Regions from separate parts of the Mus musculus genome. Here all the other regions are reported to be linked to region 2. Evidence: microRNA targets listed by miRTarBase, many of them from high-throughput screens and not tested one by one. Region 2 holds a microRNA gene; each other region holds the end of a gene's coding sequence.
Evidence for each region. Region 2 holds the annotated microRNA mmu-miR-16-5p (UAGCAGCACGUAAAUAUUGGCG, at 2,951-2,972, opposite strand). A microRNA usually pairs through its seed, bases 2 to 8, with sites in the 3' UTR of a target mRNA and lowers its output. Matches are read on the target gene's strand: a 7mer-m8 pairs with bases 2 to 8, a 7mer-A1 pairs with bases 2 to 7 and ends in A, and an 8mer does both.

Region 1 (5,916 bases), not on the chromosome of region 2:
GCCAGCTGAGATGGCTCAGCAACGGAAGCACTCACTGCCAAGCCTGACAGCCCGAGTTAGATCATGGCAGAGGAGAGACCTGAGTTCCCTAAGTTGTCCTCTCACCTCCACACATGTGCCATGCTGTCCGTGCTCCACCCCTCTCAGTAAATAAACACTGTAATAATGAAAAGGTTTTAATTTTTTTAAAATGGTGGAAAGTAAACAAAAACAACCATAAACCAGCATCCCCAATTAATTATTGCCCCTGAATATTTCCTTGTGAATGTGATTGGAGTGCAGCTGGCGCATCCCCGGGCCACAGGGCTCAAAGCTGAGCTGGGCATCATCACTGAGCCGGAGGGTTACTGCTACATGAAGTGCTGAAGCAGGTCTGAACCAGACAGCGCTCCTCTGGACCAGCATGCACGAATCTAGAGTTAGCCAACCTCATCACTGTTAGAAACTTTGGGGAGATGAAGTTGGAAAGGGTCATCTGTGGTATTGAACAGGCAAGGCAGTGCATGTTTGTAATCCCAGCACTGGAAAGGCAGGGTCAGGGTGACACCATATGATATGCATAGTGTACATCATGTATGATGAAGCCAGATGGAGGTGTCCTGCAGTAAACCAAAGCTCTTGCTGCACTGTCGGGAAGATCTCACGTTACTTTCTTTTAGAGAATTGGTTTCTCTGTACTAACAGGAAGTCTGCATAGTCCAATGCTAGCCTAGCTATAAGGTGAGACCATTTCAAACACAAAACACACACACACACACAAAACAATCTCTCCAAGGCCATGGAGACCAGAAAGTGTCTTTGTTGGGTTTTTGTTTTCTGCAGTGCCAGGAATGGAACCTGGACTTTATGTGTGCTGGACAAGTGCTGTCTATACCACTGAGCTATAATTGCCAGCCCCCAGACTGTACCTCCCATGGTTTTGTACTTGATCCAGTTCCCTGCACCCTTCACCCCTTAGATGCTGCGTTCCTGGCCCGGGAGAAGGCGAAGGCCGACGCTGAGTGCTACACAGCGCTGAAGATCGCAGAAGCAAATAAGGTAAAGGGCGCCTGACCCACCGTCCTGAGGAGGTGTTGCCTCTGCCGCTCGCTACCCAGAGCCCTCACAACAGAACTGAGGACCCTCTGCTGGGTTAGACAGCGCTTCTCTTGTGTGGGAAGCCTTAATAGAAGCTTCATTTTGTATTGAACAGGAAAACTCTGGAAACTGTTGCTACTCTGTCATAGACCTTAGATTATTTTCTCTCAGAAAAAAATGGTTTCTGGGTAACAGGGAGGCCATGAGACATGCAAACACATGTCTGCTTGACAGATGCCCTCCCCAGATGAAGTTCCTCTCTGGTGTCCCCTCCCTAAGCTCTCTTCACTTCCATCACAGCTCAAGCTGACTCCAGAATACCTGCAGCTGATGAAGTACAAGGCCATTGCTTCCAACAGCAAGATTTACTTCGGCAAAGACATCCCCAACATGTTTATGGATTCCGCAGGGGGGCTGGGCAAGCAGTTTGAGGGGCTGAGCGACGACAAGCTGGGCTTTGGCCTAGAAGATGAGCCCCTCGAGGCACCCACAAAGGAGAACTGAGGAAACACTGTCTGCAAGCTCTGCTCGGGCAGCTTAGAGAGAGCTGTATTCTTTAAGATGAGACAGAGCAAAGCGCTCCTCCTTTCCACACTACCTTCCTTGACTCTTCTTACTGTGGTTAAAAAGGAAGAAATGGACACAAACTTACCCCCTTCTGGGAAGGGAGAGCAGATGGAGAGTTGTTTTTTGGGTTTATTTTTAATTCAGGTAAGTAAGTTGTATGACTTCTGAGAAGGTGTATGCACCGTAGATTTGACCTCTGACCTGCAGACACCAACATTGTCACTTTGAAGCTGGTTTAAGTGGAGCTACTGTCAGTATGAAGAGGGAGAGTGTGTGCTGCCTCCTCGTGCTTGAATTCCTTCAGGGAAAAGTGTACTCCACAGTTCTCTCCCTTGCCTCTAGTGTAGGCAGTGTCTGCGTGTGGGGCTCGTGACAGAAGGCCGTCTGCTGCGGAACATGAGCTGCAGAGAGCGTTGGCCGGCTGGGCTTTTTGACTGAGTGGATTACTTGAGAGTTAAGCTGTCTTGAGCCCTTTTTAGGAAGAACTTGGTGCTAGGTTTTGCAAGGTTTTCTACACACTGTACTCTGCTCTAGTGTTTGTTGGCTACATCTCACCGCAGCAGGGCTTGGTCACACCACACACTCCTTTTCCGTACTTTGACCTGATCTGTGATTTCATTTCTTCTTGAATAATCTATTCATGAGTTGCACTCAGCGTTAAGATGGGAACAAACAAGTGCTGTTAGCTGATGACGTAGCTCCTTATACCCCTTAGCACTGTGGTGCTGTGTGGCTAATTATGCGTATGCTTTTGAGACCAAACATCTTTATCATTATGGAGATTCTTCATTGAAGAGCCCTTAACACTGTGGAGAAGGGCCCAGCCAGATGACACCCAAGTAGTAGTGCCTGTGGCCTGTGCTGGGGCTTTGTCTGACACTGATGAAGAGAGCAGGCAGCCACTTGAGAGTCGGCTCCAGTGAGTCACCCTAGGAAACTGAGAATGCGAAGAATAGATATGAGAGAAAGGGATTTCTTATCCTGAAATTGCACTGGGGGTGGGGCTCTACCATGGCCTGTGAGTGCACACAGAATGCCTCTGTGGAGGGCAGCTCTGCAGGTAATCTGCAGACATGGCAGTACCCTGTGCAACCATGACTGGCTCTAGCTTAGGACTTGGCCTTGTTAGCTGGTCCCCTACCTCATCCTCCCCCCACACAAAGCACCTACTGTTCTCTCTTAGGTGACTACTATAAATGGTATTTTCTGGCATCAATTCCCACCTCAGTTTTGGTTTTGTAAGTCGGGCCAGTTTGCTCCTAAGTGGCACCAGACTTGTCAGGTATTTGGGAAGCATTCAGCCGACCCAAAAAGAGGCAGGGTTCACTGTGCTTACTTCAGATGTTCCCTTCTCTGTCCTGACTCCTCAGGCCACTGACCCTGGCCACACTGTACAAACTACAAAATGTTCCTGAAAAGGACATTTTAATGTGCTCAAAAGCTCTTGCAAAAGTGGGTTTTTTTCCCCAAGACCAACTCATCTTCTTCTCATTTGTTGCTGCTAACCACTTGTTGAGAGCAACGTGCTATACCCAGCATCCTCTCTTGTACGTGCACCTGAGAAAACACTACTTCAGTGGAGTCGGTGCAGGAGGGAGGGTACCCCGCCATCCAGCGCCCTCCTAGCCCGAGAGGCTCTGTAACTAGCATTCTGAGAGCTCATCCCTCCATTACAAAGAGCCACAGTAAAGTCCTGCTGCAGCTGCTCCTTCCCTGCCCCTTTAATGTCACTTCTTTAACAGAACAGAAATGTCCCCATGTCATAGCATAAATTCAGTAGCTATTGGTATCTGTCCCAGCAGTAAAATCATGGAACTCAGATGTCTTTTTAGCATGGGATGCCTAGCCCATCTGTCTTTATGACCTTGTTTTTTGTAATACTATAAAATCTGACTTAGGCATTTGAATTCTAAACATGTAAAATGTGATAAGCCTGCAGTTTTGTAGGCAGTGAATTCATAGCTGCTATTTTTAAGTAGAACTTCTATCAAAATACGTTAACCGTTTGTAAAATTCAGTTTTTGTAGGACTTTCCCAAGGCCCAGCCACCTTGGTAGAATGCTTCTCACTCACTAAATGTTGCAGAAGCAATTTATATTCCATATAGGTTTTTAATCACTTTTCAATATATGGTTAGAATGTTTGTAAGGAAGCCTAAGTTTAATAATTTTTATATAACTAAAAATAGGTGTGGAGGACTCAGTGTGGGTACTGAGGAGGAATGAAGTGCTCTGAAAAGGGAGGTGTATAAACGGCCTGTGGGGCCGTGTGTCTTGTGAAAGTGAGATAGCCGTGCTTACTGACCTGGGCTGTCGTCAGCTGGCCGTCGGTAAACTACCTGGACAATAGCCCCTCTGTCTGGGAACTTTACCTACTTCCTTGTCCTCAGTGGGCTTCTAGCCACTGTTTGTTTCCTTATAAAAGCTGTAATGGGCAATCATGTGTTTGTACTTCCATTCCTTTTTATCTCTACTTCTGTGTAAACTGGTGATTGAATAGTTAAAGCAATTTTTTCAGTGTGCCCCAAGGGCATTAATGAGCCTTTATAACTGAGAAATGATTCTTGTTATAGTAATTATTCCATAAATGATACCACTAGATAAATTACCTTGGGTTAATAGCTCCAGGATTTGTTTCAGACAACAAAAAAAGGTCTCAATGTGAATATACTTACATTTTGGATTTAATTTCAGTCTTGCTAAATAAAATGTTTTTGTCTTTTTTTGATTAAGGTAAAATTTACCAGTAGATTGGAGGACAGGTGATAGAAATCAAACTTCCTTCTTAGGCTTTCCCTAAAAATATATCCAGGTAATATAGATTCTTACCAGCATGCTGGTACATGCCTTTAGCTCCAGCACCCGAGGAGAAGGATCTGTTTGAGCCCAGCCTGGTCTGCATAGTGAGACTATGGCAAAAACAAACAGAATTAACACATTGCTGCATTTCTCCAGAAGATAAAGGCATTCCCAGTTGACCCTAACCTCATGTAATATCAGTTTAAGTAGGTAACTCCCAGACTGGCTGTGGCAAGCTGCCTCGCCTAGTGTCACTAGATAAATGTTAATGTCAGTGAACTTTACAAAAACTATATACCATCCAAATGTTTTACAACACCTACTTTTATAGAAGAATTTGCACTTGATCTGAAATTTGCATTTAACTGGATATTTTCTTTTAAATAACAAGTTTGGGATATCTTGGTTTGGGTTTTGGTTTAGTGTATGTAGTATAGGGTATTTTGCTGATGTATGTCTGTATTCCACATGCATACCTGGTGCCTATGGAGGCCAGCTGAGGGCATTGGATTTCCCGGACGGGGCAGTTTTGAGTTGTTCCTTGTTTGCTGGAATCAAGCAGGGTCCTCCTCAAGAGCAGCCAGTGCTCTTAACCTCTGAGCCATCTCCCTCTCCCCCACCCTGCCACAACATAGTTTTCTTGGTTTTTTTTTGGGGGGGGGTTGGTTGGTTGGTTTTGGGGGTTTTTTTGGGGGGGGGGGTGTCGAGACAGGGTTTCTGTGTATAGCCCTGGCTGTCCTGGAACTCACTCTGTAGACCAGGCTGGTTTTGAACTCAGAAATCCTCCTGCCTCTGCCTCCCGAGTGCTGGGATTAAAGGCGTGCGCTTCCCACCATGTTTTTCATTGTTGTTTTCTTATGTTTTTCTTACACTGTGCTTCCTTTCTTTTTGAAAATGGTTCTTTCACAATTTGCACTTTGACCATAACCCCCACACACACATTAGCATCTTAATCCCTTACCCTCCCATCAAACTTTTCTTCCCATCAAGCCCCCTTCTTACTTAAAAAAAAAAATTCACTAAAACTGAGTTTACTTAATGAATTATGTTATTTTTCTTTACTATTTATCTATTCACTTTATATTCCAATATCAGCCCCTTCTCTCTTCCCAGGCCCCCCACACACACACACACACAGCTCCTCCCTCCATTCTTCCTTCCCCCTTCCTATGAAAAGGGGGCAGCCTTCCCTAGATATCACCCCTCTGGCACATCATCCTGTTCCCCTACGTTTTATTTTTCTTTTAAGTAGGGTTGCTTGCATAAGCCTGAGCTGTGAGTTATTTAGGCAAGGGCAACTTTCTAGTAGCAACACCACTGAGAAATATGGCTCCCCTTCCTCAGTAAGCACAGCTGTCCCACGATCCTCAGGAGCTCCCGCCTCATTCACAGCCCCAGTCCTGCACAGGTGACCACAGCTGTCGCCGTTGGTAATGGGCACAGGAGATATAGCAGTTCACACTACACCTCCCTA
Region 2 (5,916 bases):
TTAGAAATAAACTCATTCTAAGCTACCCCTTAACTCCTTGGAAGATGGAATGCATTAACGGTCTTTCATTTCTTCTCCAAGATATGTAAGTAGTATGTATAAATACATGCTGATCCAAATCTATTTAAAACAATTAAGGACATTTTCTTTTCTTTTTGGATGGTATTTAATGAGAAACAACACTGAGAAAAAATATATCATACAAGGATAGTAATATTCCTTTGCAAAAGGAAAAAAAAAAAACCAAACAAACCAATTTTAATTAGAATGTTAACTTGTAAAATTGTATGTGTAAAACTCTAGATCACAAGAGAACATCCACGTCTAATTATTTCCTTGAAAGATAACTAGTTATTAATGTAAATGTGTATAACTTTAATTTTGCTACTATTTATGATTCAAAAATAGTCACAAAGATAGAAATGAACTCTAGATTTCCAAGTCAGTGAAAATATATTTAAAATTTACACTTAAATGTATATTTTAATATATACAGGCGATTTCTTCCCTATGAAAAGTAGTGGGAAAAGTTATATACAATTAAAGTAATCTTAAGGAGTTTTCTATTGCTGTGAAGAGATATCATGCTTAAGTAACAAATGCTTACCTCAGTGGCCCACAGAGATTTGTAAAAGAGGCAATACCATTATCATATAAAAGCTTTAAATTTTGGGGCTGGAGAGATGGCTCAGTGGCTAAGAGCACTGACTGATCTTCCAAATGTCCTGAGTTCAAATCCTAGCAACCACATGGTGGCTCACAACCATCTGTAATGAGATCTGATGCCCTCTTCTGGTGTGTCTGAAGACAGCTACAGAGCTGGAGTGAGTGGGCCAATTGGAGCAAGCAGAGGTCCTGAATTCAAAATTCCCAGCAACCACATGATGGCTCACAACCATCAATATAGCTACAGTGTACTCATACACAGAAAAAATGCTCCAAAAACGGAGTCTATAGTTAATTAAATCAACTTGTTAAAACTTACTTAATTTTACCTTTAAATTAGAATTGAGTAGTGGTTCTTTTGAGGACAATTCCTTAAAAAATAACTGAAATACTTTTAGGATCTCCACAACACACGGTAGAATTAATTATGAACCTTTAATCTGAAAAGGTAAGAGACTCCTTGTAAAAAGTAATGACAGAGTTAGAGGACATTATTGTGAGATAATGTGTTTTCTTGAACATTTTAAAATAATGACGTAAAACATTTAAAATAAAGCACATGGGATAGTTAAAAGAACATTTCCGGGCTGGTGAGATGGCTCAGTGGGTAAGAGCACCCGACTGCTCTTCCGAAGGTCCGGAGTTCAATTCCCAGCAACCACATGGTGGCTCACAACCATCCGTAACGAGATCTGACTCCCTCTTCTAGAATGTCTGAAGACAGCTACAGTGTACTTACATATAATCAATAAATAAATCTTTAAAAAAAAAAAAAAAAAAAAAGAACATTTCCTTTGAAATAATTAAAATATTCTGAATATATTTATAAAATTAATGACTGTTAGCTTTAATCTGAAGTTAAATATTAAGGCACAGATGAGATGTCTTTCATACTTTTGACTTATAAAAATCTCCTGTTAAACATTTTAGTGAAAAATAAGAAAAACAGTAATTATTAAGTTAGAAGATATAGGATTTATACCCTAATATGTCATAGGTTGCAAATTAAATTTCAGATTGTTTCCTCAGTTAACCAATAAAAAGGTCAGCTATTCTAAGGATTCTTCTAAATTTAAGTTTAAAAATTCAACGTACACATTTTAGTGTTATTCTCCTTCATTTAAAATGAAATATTTAGGCACATTATACTCAAGATTATGTTATAATCTGTAGCATTTCAAACTTTATCTGTATCTAAAGAAAACTTCAAATCAAGAGAAAAGTATTTTTCTATTATAAGTAATAATATGAGTTTAAATTCATGTACAATTTGGTACTTCCTAAACTCTTTCAAATAAACTTTTATATGGAAATGCTGGAAAGAGAGCTCGAGCCTTGGTGGTACTGGGTATATTCTGTACCACTGTAGCTCTCAAGAAACTCTGGAAAGGTGTTCAAGACTTAAAAATACTTGTTATATTATTAGTCAGTGCTCCATCTGTGGATCCAACCAACCACACATTCAAAACATTTGGGTGGCCAGGCATTGGGGCCTACAGTTTTAAACAAAGAATTTGGGAGGCGGAGGCAAGAGGATCTCAGTGAGTTTCATGGCAGCCTGGTCTACATGGTGAGACCCAGGCTCAAAAGACCAAACCAAAAAACTTATTTCTTGGACAAAAACTGCATTAGTACTGAATTGTACAGTTTTTTTCTCATCATTAAGAGAATAACTTGAATAATACAACTATCCATGTTAACATCCCACTGCACTACACATTAAAAACAATGTAGAGATAAGTTTAAATAAGTATAAGGGAGGATATGCACTGGTCACGAGCAGACATTTTATACAGGAGATCCAAGCATTTACAAATCTGGGTATCTAGAAGTCCTATAATCAGTTCCTCACACAGAAGTCATTATGTTTTGTTTGTTTTTAAAAGACAGATCCTTACATAGGTCTTAGACTTGCTTTATGGCCAAGGATGATGTTAAGCCTCTAATTCTCTTTTTTCCACTTCCTCAGATCTAGGATTACAAGTGTACCTGGTATGCAGTGGTAAGGCTAAAACCCATGGCCTTGTGCATGCTAGCAAGAAGCACTTGGCCAACTGAGCTGCATTACCATCCCACAATTATATAGTATTTTAACAGACACAATATGTAGAGCGTTGTTACTAACATCATTACAGAATCATACCAAACATAAAATCACTAATGCAATTAGAAAAACCGTGTAAACACACAAGTAACATCAATACACATTGAATTACAGTTGTAGAGTATTGCCAACCTTACTTCAGCAGCACAGTCAATACTGGAGGTAATTTCAGAATCTTAACGCCAATATTTACGTGCTGCTAAGGCACCGCTGACATTGCTATCATAGGAGCTATGAATAAAAAGACAGGTACTCTCTTCAGAAGATCAGGTCCTTGTATTTTGAGGCAGCACAGTATGGCCTGCACCTTTTCAACATCCACAAACCATTATGTGCTGCTACTTTACTCCAAGGGTTGGTTTTGAAAACTCCTAGCACCTCAATAGTAATTTACAGAAAAGGCTTTTTAGGAAAAAGTAGAACACATAAAATCTATGTTTGAAAAAAATCTAACACTGGTATGTGCATAATTTTATAGGCTTTCAGCAGAATAAAAAGTATTTCCATATCATAAGTTTAATAAAAGCGTACAGAAAACTTAATACAGTGCTGTAATTTATTGTAGTCATGAAACGAGAAAAGCAAGTCATTTTCCCATACCAACTTAAGAACCTCATTTATTAAACTAACAACTTTTGAATGTGCTTAACACATGAAATAGCTACAAAAGTTGGTTTTTACCTTATTAAGAGCAGCACATCTTTCAAAGCCAAATCCATAGGACAAAGCTTCATGTTAAAGGAAACATGTAAGAACAAACATGTAAGAGCTCAGTTTCAAGAAATTTATACTAGCAAAATATTTAGAAGACATACACATGAAACATATTCCCCAAAAATATATAACCCCCAATCTACACATGAACACAAGATTTATCTCAATATTGGAATAGTTATTGTGAGTTCAGTGTCATTTATTATTACCCAGAACATCATCTTAGGATAACAGGTCTATTTGGTTTCCTAAAAGGATATATCAGAAATCCTGTAGCTCAAGCCTAAGTAACCATTTGTGTGTTTCCCAGTTAAAAAGGCTAGTCCTTTAAAGGAGTATCATTTTATACCACAGGACTTTGACTTAGCTGAAACAAAATTTTTACTACGTTAAGTTCCAACTTCATTTTATGTGTGTGTGAATATCTAGGTTTTCTTACACTATTAAGAAGACTCTTTTCTGTTTAGTGGGGGACTTAGCCATCCCTTCACAAAGAACTGTTCTTATTATTCCAGTTCATACCAGATTTTCCATTCAAACTAGATTACTGTGTAGCAAATGTTTTCTAGTGGGTCAATGCCATTTCTCCATTCCCGTTCATGTTGGGTCATTTGAAATATCAAAACGTCTTTAAATCTTCAAACCTTTGCTTTCAAGTGTGCCAGCTTAAAAAAAAAAAGTCTGAAAATAAAGATAAAAGCTGCTAAAAGTGATTTTGTCCTTTATCTTTATACAATGATTATAATTTCAAATTCAGTGGTTTTTTGAGAGAGGTTTTGAGGACAGTGGCTGCTGTCCTGCAATTCATTCTATAGACCAGGCTGGACTGGAACTCAGAGATCTATCTGCCTGGTTTCCCTCCTGCATGCTAGGATTAAAGGCGTGCACCATCATGCCCCGTTCCAAATTCAGTGGTTTATATTCTGGCCTAAGGACCAAAATAATTTTTCTTTGTTGGGTTTTTACATAGTTCAACTTTTTACTAATGTTCTTAAAAGGAAAAAAAAGCCATTCTGAAAAGAAAACAAAATGTTTTGCTTAAGAAGGTAACTTGAGTGTACATAGGAATACATGGCAATCTTTAAATACCTGAAATTAATATTATTCGTATAAGAAAACAGAATTTTACAACAATTTAAGAAGATAGATCAAACCAAATTGTCCTATTTCCCCCTTCAACTCTATTTGTTTCCATTAATATTTTTCTTTAGAAACATTTACTTTTTACCTTATAAAACTTCTAATATTAATTCATCTTGTTTCCATAAAGCTTAGCACTTCACAAACATTTATAGGCATGTTGCCCAAGCTATATCATCATCTTGACTGCATCAGAATAATGGGATACTTTTTGAATTTAATAATAAGCAACCAGTAATTTGTTGGAGCACAATGACAGAATACAGAATCTGAGGTCCGAACCCTGACACTGTCCTTTGAGTGTCTCCCATGGCTGTTATTCTAGTACACTGACCCTTTCTGGTTCCCTATCTGCAAATGAACCATTAACATACATATAAGCCTTTGTAGGACGCTTCTGAACCATAGCCATCTTATGAAGTTGTCTAAGAACATGGAGAAAACACTACCAGGTTTAAGTTCTGATGACAGAGCAACAATTCTCAGGGCACAAAAAATCTACTTAAATAGCAAAGCTAAAGGCATGAAATACTGCAACAAATTTGGGAAGTTAAAAGCTGGGTATGTTAATATCTTTGATGTGGCAATAATGCCACTATAAAATCTTTGGAACTGTTTCTTCTCTAAACATTTTAAATTCCTAGTTCTAAAATTTGATATGTGAAAAGTGACAGAATCATTTGTAGGGCATACTACTAAATAGTTAAAAATTCCATTTCCATGTGATTTTTTTCTAGGAAAATGAGCTTATGTAACATATTTGAAAAAGAAATTGTTCTAACAACAACAACAACAACAACAACAACAACAACAACAACAACAACATACCCAAATTTTATTTAATGGCTATGAAAGGAAAACTAAACTGATTGTTTAGGCCAAGTCAGGTATGGTGATCACTGACAACTGAATATGTATTTCAATTTGCTCATTTTTTACATGGAAATTTTTGAAATTCAAGTTGCAAGGCTGCAGAGTTACTCAGTGGTTAAGAGCATTTTGTTGCTGTAAAAGACCCAGGTTCAGTTCCCAGCACCCACATGGAGCCTAAGCACTTCCTCCAGCACGCACTGCAGACATACACGAAGGCAGAACACTCATACTTTAAAAAGCTCAAATTTCAGAACAGAAGATGACAACAATAATTCACACTAAATGTTCTGAGGATATTATCCCAGTGCATTTATGCTTAAAAGTGAAAAAAAAAATCACATTGTATCAGATTGTTATATTTGCAAATTTAAATTCCTACCCAAACCAGGTGGGTGGCTAAGTGTTGTGAGTGGAACATG
Region 3 (5,916 bases), not on the chromosome of region 2:
TACATTCCCAACCCTTAGCTTTGTAGGCTTTTCAGTGTGGCAGTGACAGCAGGGAGCCCAAGGATAGCAGAGAGGAAGTTCAATTCATGCGCACTCTTGAAGCCTCTGATTGCATCACATTTGCTGTCGTCCCTGTGGCTAAAATCCAGAGCCAGACTGAGAGAGGGCATCCATGTGCTTGTCTACGGAGAGGCTGGACTGGGGGACAGTGGGTCACGCTGGCTCAAGAGTTCAGCTGCTTGGCCATCACAAACTTAAAAGCATTTGAAAATCACCACCTTGCCCGGCAGGGAAGATGCTCAGCAGGTGAAAACTGCATCTTTCACAGCACACACCCACACAATTAAAATTAATAAATTAAATAGAAGACACACATAATAGCATTCCTACCCTTTTATTCTTTTTTCCAAAACACACCACAGGATTACCAGACAGATTTGTCCCCCACATTCCAACAGACAGCTCCTTCATGAGCCAGAAGTGTGAGACTCTCTCCATGTTGAGGAGGGCACCTCATCCATTCACCAACGTTTGAAACCTGCTCGTCTTTCAAGGGCAATGCCAAGATTGTGTAGCTGCAATTCCAGCATGGAGGACTGACATTTCCCAGAGTTCCTGCGCCCAGGCTCTTTCAGACCCGAGGTGCCTCATGGGAGCACCCTGCTGGCAGCAGGTGGCCTGTGACGAGGGAGACTGAACCTTTCCTATTTGGAGGCTTCCAGGGGCCTGGCTATCTGCTTTGCTTACATTCTGGAAAAGCCTGAAAATCCTAACAAAAGATTGTATGGGCAACATATGTAGTCATTTACACCTGTAATCCCAGCTCTTTAGACGCCCAGAGCTGTAGAGTAAGGCCCTATCTCAGGGGTGGGGGTGGGAGATCATAGTTTAAAAGGCAGCCACCTCTACCTGTAACCCAGGACAAGGAGAGGCTAGGACCGGAGAAGCACCTGGCGCCAAGTGTTTGAGACAGCCTGGATCCTCTATCTCAAGTAACAGAACAAAAATGGGCAAGGAATCACAAAACACAAAAGTGCCCTGTACAAGTTTATGGAGCTGACCAGGACACACACAATGGCTACAATATGCTCCTTCGATGCATCTAGCATGGGCCTCCTGCCTCAAGAAGGGAGAGCAGCAAAGCACAGGACGGGGATGCCAGGTGGCACCAAAGCAAGCCACAGTGAGAGCAGGGCATCATGCCACGTGCCTGACCCTGGCACTGGAGAGATGCAGGCAGGAGGATCAGGATTTCAAGGCCATCACCAGCTACATGCCGAGGTGAAGGCAAGCCTAAGCTATGTCAAAATACCAGAAAAGACATGGAGGGTTTAGAGAGCTCAGGACACTTAATAGGAGACCGAGTTTGGCTGTTACTGTAGCCAGACCAAGGGAAGTGGGGCCCAGGCAGTAGAGGAGTAGCATTTGAGTGTCAAGCTTCTCAGAGGGGGCTGCAGTACCTGGGAGCTGGGTATGTGTGTGAGCACATTCACATGCCAGTGTGTGCATGCTTAGCCACACATGTGCACATGTAACAGAGCAAGTTCTTAGATGCCTGCTGTGATGGTTAATATTAACTGACAGAATTTACGTTCACCCTGGACATGGCTGTGGAGGAGTGCCTAGACTATGTTAAATGAGGCGAGGAAACCTACTGTTTGAAACACTATTCCATAGCGCTGTGGTCCTGGGGTGAAACAAAGATTTCTCAGCTTCCCAAATGTGGTTGCAATGTCTCACTTTCATGCTGTTATGATTTTTCACAATAGACTGTATTGTTGAACTATGATCCAAGTATGTGGATAAAGCCACCGAGGGGGGGGGGAAATCCATCTCAGATTCTATTTGTACTTGACCCACTGGAACATCACAGGTTCAGGGAAAACTACTAAGCCAGGAGGTGAGGCAGGCCTGTGATCCCAGTTACTTGGGAGGCTGAGGGGTTAGGATCCCAAATTCCAAGGCCTGTCTGGAATAAAGTGAGTTCAAGGACAGCCCAAGCAACTTAGTGAGACCTTGTCTTGAAATATGATGTAGCTCAGTGGTGGAGCCCCTGCCTAGAATCCCCCAGTGAGGGGCTGGGGGCGTGGCTCAGTGGTAGAGCCCCTGCCTAGAATCCCCCAGTGAGGGGCTGGGGGCGTGGCTCAGTGGTAGAGCCCCTGCCCAGAACCCTACCTGCAGCCCAGCACAGGGCTAGGTACATGGTTCCAGCAGAGTGTTTGCCTTTAATATGTGAGGCACTGATCAAAACCCCATGATTGGGGGGAACTTATCGATATAATTGAAACACGGGTATGTGAATTGGGCCCTCCATTGATCAGTTCAAGTATTTCCAATTAGGTGTATTGTGTGATGAGGTGTGCTTGGGTGTAGGAACACATTGGTTCTGATGATTTAGTGAAAAGAGTGTCAGGCTGATCTAGGATGGTTTAGAGTCATAATCCCGGCACTGGGGAGGCTGAGGCAGGGCCAAAGCTGGCCAACCCAAGCATCAAGGACTTAGTATCAGGCTGGCTCCAGACCGTGTGGAGTTCAAGGCCCGTCTAGACTCTAGTGGGAACAGGCGCATAGCTTACAGGCCTGCAATCCTCTCTCACCGAAGACTGCCTTAAATTTCAAATTCTCCTGTGTCAACCGGAGGTGCGGGGATTACAGGCATGAACGCCCGAATAAGGTGCCTCCTCGTAGGGCGGATGGTGTCAGAGGTGAGAGTTCAGGGTTAGATGGGAGCAAAGCCCAGCTGTGCAGGCTTCTGATTAGCCCTCAGAAGCTCTTATGGGTCTAGCCCAGTCCTTTCATCGACCAGGTGAAAATACATGGCCCTCGTTCATGTAGTGACAGCGGCCAAGCTGCTGCTACCGTTCGCTCTCCCACCAGGTGCTTGCTTCTCTCCCTCTTTGTAACAAGATTATGACAACCTGAATTCCAGGCCATGTGCCAGTGACCAGTAAACTAAGAAAATAAATACTAGGCACCTACTGTGTGTCAGGCACTGCTCTGGGTGCTAGGGTACACCCAAGAGAAAGACAAGCAAGGAGCAAGAGCCAACGAACAGGCAAGTGAGAGAATGAGAATACAGCCATTGGTAGTAATGTTCACTACAGGGACTACCATGTGGCAGGATCAATGCAAGCTACTTTGGGTGACCATAGAGCCATTTCGGGGAGACCTGACAGATGAGGACCCTATCTCAAAAAAAGACAGGGAGGCAGAGTGTCCCACAGAAAACCAGAAAATGCATAAGTCCTGAGGTGGGACCTTGGCATCAGGCTTGCTGGAGATGGGCTGAAAATGGAGAAGAGGCAGGGCCAGGCCACACACTGTCCCGCTGTGTTGATGAGCCTTTGGCCTGCATCTCTGAACCCCGTGGTCCTACCTGCACAAAGCTACAAAACTGACAGCGATGTGGTTTCTGCCTATGCCTCCCTCCAGGCACTTTCCCACGGCATCAAAGGCCTACCTAGCTATCCTGAGGGGGACCCCCTACACACACACACACACACACACACACACACACACACACACACACAGCAGCAGCATCCTATGTGGACCAGCAGCAGGTGTCTTGGGAGAAATCAGAAGAGGTCATGCAGAAAAACCACATAGACTGCTACAGCAGGAGCCCATCACTTTGAGGCCCTGCAGTTAAGGTCCATATGACAGAAGAAACCAGTAATAAAGAGAAACAGGAGCGTGCATGCCAGAGACCCTGAATCACCCAGCACCTATAAAATGGGGGTAGTCACACCTTCCCAGTAAAGCTCGGAGAGGCAGCTGCCAGGATCCCACGGGAAGTATTTCCAAGTGTGGGTTTCTAATCTTCCATACCCTAAAGACCCCATTCCTAGGCTCTAGCTGTCAGAAGACAACCTTACCCACACACTCCCTTGTCCCTTCCCTTCAATGTTGTGGATCATTATCGTCCACACCAAAGCTTTGGAGAGCAAATGACTGACAATCTTCTGCACTCCAAGAGACTAAAGGGTCTCCAGCAGGCCCCTGGTCTCCACAGGGCTTCCTGCCACCTAAGAAATGGCAACCACAGCCTTCTTAGGAACCAGACTTTTCCTAAGGCTCTCACAGCTCCCACAAAAATCTGTTCTTTCATCAGGTAACTTATACTTCTTTCCTTTTGGGAGCCAGCACTCCAAGGCTTCTATCTCCCCGCAGTTTCGCTCACAGGCAGGCAGGGATCAAGGCTTCTAGAGATCCATGACCAGGTGTCAGCGGGACGCCAAGAAGCTCCCATTTCTACTGAGTCCCAGGCCCTCAACTCCCTTTACTGCATTGGTATCTGGATGACACACTTCTGGCGCATAGACCCTACTCCCATTCAGTACCTAGGAAATCGGGTGACTGTAAATCTCACGTTTCAACGAGATGTCAGTCTCCTTCAAGTCTCCGGGTTTGAATAACAAAACGTCACTTCTTAATCTCAGAGGCTGTGGGGCCAAAACCAGTCACCAGACACCCCAAGCCCCACCGCACACCTCATTGGTTGGGCTCTGGGGGTCCCAGCACCGCCTCCGCATCAGCCAGCATCTCATCTAAGGCTTGTAGAAGTACACCGTGCGCAGCACGGTAACCCAGCCCACCTGTTGCCGCAGCACCACCCGTGGGCCATAGGAAGGAGAGCGCGCTCAACGCTGCACCTCCCGCCGTGCCCTCACCTGCCCAGGACCCCAGCCTGGCCTCTACCTCGGCTCGCGTCACCGGGCCCGGGAAGCGCGTGCGCGTTGCCAGTACTCCGGGAGCCAGGCCCAAGGCGCGCTCACGTCGTGCTACGGCCGCGGGTTCGAGGCCTAGCGCGCGCCTCCACTCGGCCAGCTGTCCCCGGAGAAGCGCCACATCGCAAGCCCAGCCCAGCCCTGGTACTGGGGCGGCGGCCGCCGCCAGGCTAGCCAACAGGGCTGGCCTCCACGCCCCTGCCCGTAGCGCAGCCGCCTTCCTCCGCGCCGCCCGGGGACTTGCAGGTGGCAGCGCCAGCAGCAGAGCTCCGGCCTGAGCTGTGGGCAGTGCGTGCTGGAGCCAGGTTCCGAGGCCTGGGAGACCGCCGGGCCGCATCGGGAACACGGGCGGAGGCGCCTCCTCCAGCACCTCCCATAGCTCATCCTCCGGGCTCCGAGCGGCAGTGCACCCCGAGTCCCCGATGCCAGCTTTCTTTCCTTCGCTGCGTGCATCCCCTGAGTTCCCATCACTTGCATTCTGGGCCTTTTCTTCTTCCAGAACCTCGGGTGGATCTTCGCCCTGGCCGTCCGTGCGCACACCGACGAGTGGAGCATCTGGGGACACCAATGAGCGGACCTGGGCCCAGTTCTCCTCTGTGGGAGCCCCGGGGGTGACAAGGATCAGGGCATCGTAGTGGGTTGGGTGAGGGGTGACGGCAGGAGATGTGGCCGTGGGGCCCAGGGGAACGGTCCAGAGCACTACGTTGGGGCGCTCTGGAGCAGGATAAGGGGTGGGCCCAGTGGGTGCTGAGGCAGGCGCAGCACCTGGGTCTCCAGGATCCAACCCCAGCAGCATATCTAGCACAAGGCCTACATTGGTGGTGCCGGCCACCGCCAAGTCCAGTCGTGCGCTGCCCAGGCGCTCCAGACCAGCGCGCACCCACGACAGCGCCGCCTCCAGGCCACCGGTCTCGAAGGCCTCACGAACAGCTTCCAGCTCGGCTGCGCCCAACACCTCGAAGCCATCCTGGGCAGGAGGCAGGAGCCTGCAGGAGAGAGGGTGGGAGATCGGTCAAAGGCAACAGAGCTTTAAAAGTAGGAAAAGCTGGGCTGAACGAGCAATTACGGGAAAAAAAAAAATCTTTCTGAATCTCAAGAATTTAAGTAGGGAACTAATGCACATAGAAAGAAGGCACGGCCGGGCGTGGTGGCGCACGCCTTTAATCTCTGCAATCTCTGCACAAGTGGC
Region 4 (5,710 bases), not on the chromosome of region 2:
CCTGGATACCACCTTGGGGTTCCAGTTGATGTATTTGGAGAACACAATCAGGCCAAACATTTTCGAGAGTCCTCTAGAGGAAGCAAGGACTATATTTTTTGTGTTATACTAAGAGGGACCCAGGAAACATATCCACTGTGTAGTAACTCAGTGGCTTGAGGCTCCTTCTCATTTGCATGCCCTACTGTGCTTCAAGAGCCAAGCTACCACCCAATATTTGCCTCAGTTTGATGACCAGCAGGGTCGCTGCTCTGTGGGCTGAGGTTGAACCTGGAACCTCATGTTATAGGCAAGGAGATGGGTAAGGATATCGCACGTACAGCATGCCATGTGGCTCAGAGTAACTACAAATAAGTATATTGATGAACCATGATGAGGAAGTCCTTAAATAGTCTATGCAAAAATTCACAAAGGCATGAAGAGTCCACACAGATAGTTTTCTCCAAGGAGTGGCCAGTTCTTATAGCCACAGGCAACCTTGTCCTTCTAAATCAACATGTAATGAGTGCTTACTTCCTATCTGCACCTATACTGCCTAAGCACCAGTTTATCATCGTTCTGGTGTGCTGACGATGGAACTCAAGACCTCATGCTTGCTTTGTCACTAATTTGAACTCCCAGCCCAGGACTGTGTATCTATCTATTCTCTGTCCTCTAATGATCTCTGAGGTTATAACGTATAATCTTGCCTCACCCAACAAAAGACAAAGATCAGGTGCCTTGGGTAACATGCCGGAGGCTTCACTGCTAGTAAAGGTGGGGCAGTTATCTAAAACCAAGATGGGTCTACTTTGGCTCTCAAGTGCTATCCTAAGTTGCCCTTGTCCTATAGAGATATGGTAGATCATCTTCCCTGTTCATCTTTGCTCTCTGGCAAAAGCCGGAGAGGCCAATGGATTCCCTTAGTTCTGCCTAGACTATGAGGATGGGCACAGGATGGACGCCATTCATGAGCGTGTCACTCCTCACATGGCCACCTGCTGCCTGGGTGCACTGCCTTCTGCACCTAAGTCACTTTTCTTCTCTAATGTCCTTGGAAACCTGACCAGGCTCCTGCCTCTTCCACTGAGCAGGCTTGCCAGCTTCTGTTTATCCCCCTTCCCCAAGAAATCCCTACTGGTCTGTATTATTGCCCGGGGTGTGGCAATTACCACCGAGGTCACTTCACTGAGGTAACTGGTACCTTAGTCTCTTGTGGCCACTTACAGATATCGGTGTCCCCCACAGCCCCACAGTGTCGATGTGCCAGACATTTAGTGACTGCATAACTGATTCTGTTGGTGATGTTTTGCTCGAGAGACAGACCAGAGACCAGACCATGATGTTAAAAACCCCAAATGAGATGCCCGGCCTTTGTCTTTCCTGGAGCTTACCTTGTCTCTCCCTGCCACACCTTCCTGGTTACCTGACAGACAGAGGGGGGACTCAGCGAGAGCTGGGTGAACGGTGAGAAAGGGCACTTAGGGGTGGCCAGGTTTGTGCTCGTGGACAACAAGTGTGGTCATTGCTAACTTCGCCTGCAAGGCAAGGATGGTGATTCCATGCTGCTGGCTCTCCAAGTCTACCCGGGCCTGAAGTCTCCAAGACCTAAACGGTAAGTGAGAGCAATCCGCAGGCAGCCGACCCAGCAGCGCATCTCTTCATTTTGTAAAAGGAGAGAACTTTAAAAGGAAGAAGGCAGTATGAATTGTTAAGACTCGGACTCCCAAAGAAAAAGGCGGGTGGAGCAGGCAAAACAGGGAAGTGAGTGGGTGGTGGGTGGAGGCGGGGAGGGTGGTGGTGGCCATATCCACAGGAGGCGCCTTCCCGGGCAACTGTGCTTCGCACACCTGCACAAAGCACCGCGCCTACTGCAGGCAACTCTGTTCAGCCGAACACCGGATTCTCCTGTCTACTCTGAGGGTGGAAGAGGATAGGATAAGGGTGAGAAGGAGAAAGAGATAGAGATAGATAGAGAGAGAGAGACCCAGCTCGCAGCCACTTCCCAGCCACCAGTGCTCTGGGCCCCACACAAGGTCCTAGGAGAGGAAGCTGGGACCAGAGGCCGTGTGTTTTAAGAATCCAGAAAGAGATTTAAAGGATCACTTGTAACATTAATTTTTTTATTAAGAAGACAGATATTTTATAGTACTTCTTTTTTTTTCTTTTTTCTTTTTGTAAAAATGGTATACATGAACCGATACAAAATGCGAATGGGAACACACGGATGTGGAGTTTCTTACACTGTAACATGGTCCTTGTACACCTTAGAAACAGAACTGGCCTAGAGGGAAAAACAAGACGTCATCGTGACTAAAGAACAAGCTTATTTGGCATCAATTATACATCCTTCATTATTTTATACTCCTTTAAAAAAAACACAAAAAAAACCCAAGTTTGTTCTTTCTTCACTCTAAAAAAAGTGATCAACCTGTACAAAGTAATACTCAACAATACATTTCAAACAGTGCACTGTATACTTAAGAAAAATACATAAACCAATATACAACTAAAATCCATAATTTCCTGTTTTTGCTTTGTTTTATTATTATTATTATTATTATTATTTATTATTATTATTATTTTTCCAATGTGTGGGGCCTACACTTTGCAATCTACCTGAGACGGAAAAACACCAATTGAAACACAGGAACCTGAGACATGTCAACATTGTAAGCCATAAAGTTACATCAGAACACTGCACTACTGTACACTTGTCAAAACAGAAAGATGGGCGGTCCCGAAAATGAGATGCCAATTCTGTGAACAATGGTAGTTTTTTTGTGTTTGTTTGTTTTTTGTTTTTTTTTAAATATTTTTTATATATATTTTTTTTCTAAAAAGAACAGCTGAAAAACCCTTTCAACGACATGCTAACTGGTTGTCACCCTTTGATATGGTCACTATGGTCAGGATGGGTGCTAAGGGCTCGGAATAGATGCACATTATAAAATTTTTGAAAAAGGGATGTTCCTTGTGGCTTTTTGTCTTGGTTAAGTGCCTAGGGGCAGGAGAGGGGTTAACAAAACACTGCTCCATAATGAATTTTCCTTTACAAACCAGTCCGTTCCCAAAAGGCCCCCATATTGCAGTGGTTCTATCAGAAGTTAAAATAAAGACAAGAAAAAGAAATACGCTTTCAAAGAACAGAGTCGACACTTTTTTCCCCTTAAATAAATCAGCGTAGGTTTTCCACATAATGTAACAATAGTAAAAATGCACCTTGCAAAATCCAAAAGTACTGACTGAAAATGTTATATATAATATATATTTATATATTTATATATATAGATAGATCTATCTTTTCTGATGCCATCTTTCCAGAGGGGCTGTTTTGGAGTCTGGAGCTTACCGACACGTGTGGTAAGAGTTTAGGTTCTGTCCTTCAGAACTACTGCTAGATGACCCCAGCACTTCTGCAAACCCCCACTTAGCTTTAGAGAATGCAAAGGGTTCCTTTGCGCCTCTATCTTTCCTCAGGCTCCGGTGTAAGATATGTTCACGGAAACTTATTTTAGTAGCTATGCGCTCTGGCTGCCATCATGCGAGATGAGTAGTTTTTGGCAGATGGTTCTTAAGGCTGAGGTAAGAGGCCAGGCCTAGTGCACGAAAGACAGAAACACTCACATTTTGAGTTTTGATTAAGTAACTGGAAATCCCTATATGCCACTTTCCCACCTCGACTCTGGGCTCTGACCTTTCCAGAACAAAATTGGCCCTTCTTTTGTACCTCCTGCCTTTGTCAAGCCAAATCTGAAGGAATGAGAGGAGTTGGGGGTGGGAGCTGGGAATCCCAGCAGGACAAGTGTCCCAGCAGGACGGTGTCTGTAACATACAGTACACACAGGACACAGCCCACTGCCGTCCTTAATAAGAACAAAGGAAAACAAAACAAAGCAAAACAACCCAGAACCAAAACCAAAGTGGGGGTAAAAAAAACCTAAACAAAGCCTGTCCCCTCCAGTCAGTCACACGGCACACGGACTTGCTCTCTCCTGCATTAGTGAGCAGTAAGGCCAATTGGGAAAGGTGGATGGAATTGTTGAGAGTAGAAATAATCAGAGCAGAACTGTCGTACCCCCTCCCTGCTTCCCCTCCTGTGACATCTCAAATTTGTCCACTTACATAAAACAGACAGACCTCACATGTCGGGTCTGTTTAGGGCAACGAGGAAGGAGGAGACCTTTCCACTCCAAAAACTTTCTGCACAGCGTGGGGTAATCTATACTGAGCCGCCTACAGATAAAGAATTAACGACAGATTCAATCTCATTGCGACACACCTCACTTGCAGATAACCCTGTACAGTAATGAAGATCCACAGCAGACGACAGCGTCTGGGTCACAGTCTACGTTTCTAGTCTTCGCTGCTCTACGTATTTAAGACATGGGCAGCAGCAAAGAGTTTTCAGTGTTTTCTTTTTTTTTTCTTTTTTTTTTCTTTTTTTTTTTTTTTCTTCACCCAAATCTTTACAACAACAGAGAAGGATGCATCATGGAGACACTAAATTCTGAACTATGAAATCTAAATTGTGCTGGTTTTCCTTTTATGAAACTGAATTTGGAACAGAAAGCAGTCACCGTTAACACAAATAAAAGAAACTGGCAACAGGGAGAAAGTCTTAGGAATTCCAGCAGGTCAATTCCAAAAAATGGGAGGTTTGGGAGGGGGAAAAAAACAAATTTGATTTTGGGAAAAATAAATGGGCAAGAGGGAAGAAACACAACAAACGAATGAAAAACAAGGCACAGAATTTTCTGCAATCTACCGAAACCAAATCCAAGTACCCAAGTTTGACTTGGTAGGAAGAAATATAAATGAAAAAAACAAAAAACCAAAAAAACCCAAAACCCAAAGCAAATTAAAACCAGATTAAAAAGAGGTGTCAAACAGCAGAGTGTACTTTCAAAGAACATTCTTTGTTTTTGTTTGTACATTGCAAATCCCAAGCCTTCCCAGTCTCGCATCTCTCCACCCACTCATAAAAAAACAAAACAAAACAAAAAACCACACGAGCTTCTCGAAAGTTCCAGTATCACTGTCTCTTTATCATCTAAACAGGCCAGTTGGACACCTCATTGGAACAAAAAGGCTGATCTAGATGAAGTACTCTTTCTTTTCTTCGGAGTTGTTCTGTCCTCCTTCTGCATTGATTATAGCTGTGTCTGCGTCTGCTGCGTCATCGGCTCCTTTGGCTTCATGAGTGAAGTATGTACCTGAAAGATGAAGGGGTAAAGCACTGTGACTCTCTGGTGGCCTCTGTGAGAAGTGGTACAGAGATGGCAAGTTGCTTTATGGCCATCATCAGCCGAAGTGGTGTGCAGGCAGCAGAGGGGGGAAAAAACAATAGGAAGAAGAGAGCAGGGTGGGTGAGACAGATGGGAATCCGGGCTCCAAAGGTAACCACTCCAACTGAGCCGCTGCGATGTAATTCAGCAAACGAGACATTAGAGCAGTGATTATGACCAGAGAAGAAGGCGTGAGTGGGGCTAAAATGCAGAAAGCTGGAGAGCTGCTGACTACCGAATTAACAGTGAACACCAAAGACCGATGACAAGAAATGTTCGCACATGGTTAAAGACCAAAGCAAGGAAGAGCAATTAGCCAATAAATGAATTAGGGCCCCAAAGATGCTTCTACTGCCATCTTGAACCAGTTACTCCAACCATAGTCTCCTGGCTTCATGAATGGCTACTGGCTACCCACGGGGAGACTGTGATGCGCTGGGTAA

Region 1: miRTarBase lists Erlin2 as a target of mmu-miR-16-5p. Seed matches in the 3' UTR shown: 8mer at 3,141-3,148 and 7mer-A1 at 3,606-3,612.
Region 3: the mRNA of Irgq is a reported target of mmu-miR-16-5p. Seed matches in the 3' UTR shown: 7mer-m8 at 3,553-3,559, 7mer-m8 at 3,533-3,539, 7mer-m8 at 3,530-3,536 and 7mer-m8 at 1,134-1,140.
Region 4: the mRNA of Cadm1 is a reported target of mmu-miR-16-5p. Seed matches in the 3' UTR shown: 7mer-m8 at 4,372-4,378.

What each region holds. Positions count from the first base shown.
Region 1 is chr8:27,035,056-27,040,971 of GRCm38, forward strand. It overlaps Erlin2 (ER lipid raft associated 2), which reads left to right. Exons shown (of 12, transcript NM_153592.3): 11 at 959-1,038; 12 at 1,378-4,382. The coding sequence ends at 1,581. Among named protein-coding and RNA genes, the nearest start is that of Plpbp, 4.5 kb to the right of the region's middle.
Region 2 is chr14:61,628,986-61,634,901 of GRCm38, forward strand. Mir16-1 (microRNA 16-1) reads right to left here and starts at 2,987; the gene lies at 2,895-2,987. It overlaps Dleu2 (deleted in lymphocytic leukemia, 2), which reads right to left. Exons shown (of 7, transcript NR_028264.1): 4 at 3,452-3,498. It overlaps Mir15a (microRNA 15a), which reads right to left and starts at 3,125; the gene lies at 3,042-3,125.
Region 3 is chr7:24,533,063-24,538,978 of GRCm38, reverse strand. Irgq (immunity-related GTPase family, Q) reads right to left here. Exons shown (of 3, transcript NM_153134.3): 3 at 379-5,713. The coding sequence ends at 4,492. Among named protein-coding and RNA genes, the nearest start is that of Irgq, 5.4 kb to the right of the region's middle.
Region 4 is chr9:47,849,757-47,855,466 of GRCm38, reverse strand. Cadm1 (cell adhesion molecule 1) reads right to left here. Exons shown (of 11, transcript NM_207675.2): 11 at 2,082-5,195. The coding sequence ends at 5,077. Among named protein-coding and RNA genes, the nearest start is that of Gm10677, 34 kb to the right of the region's middle.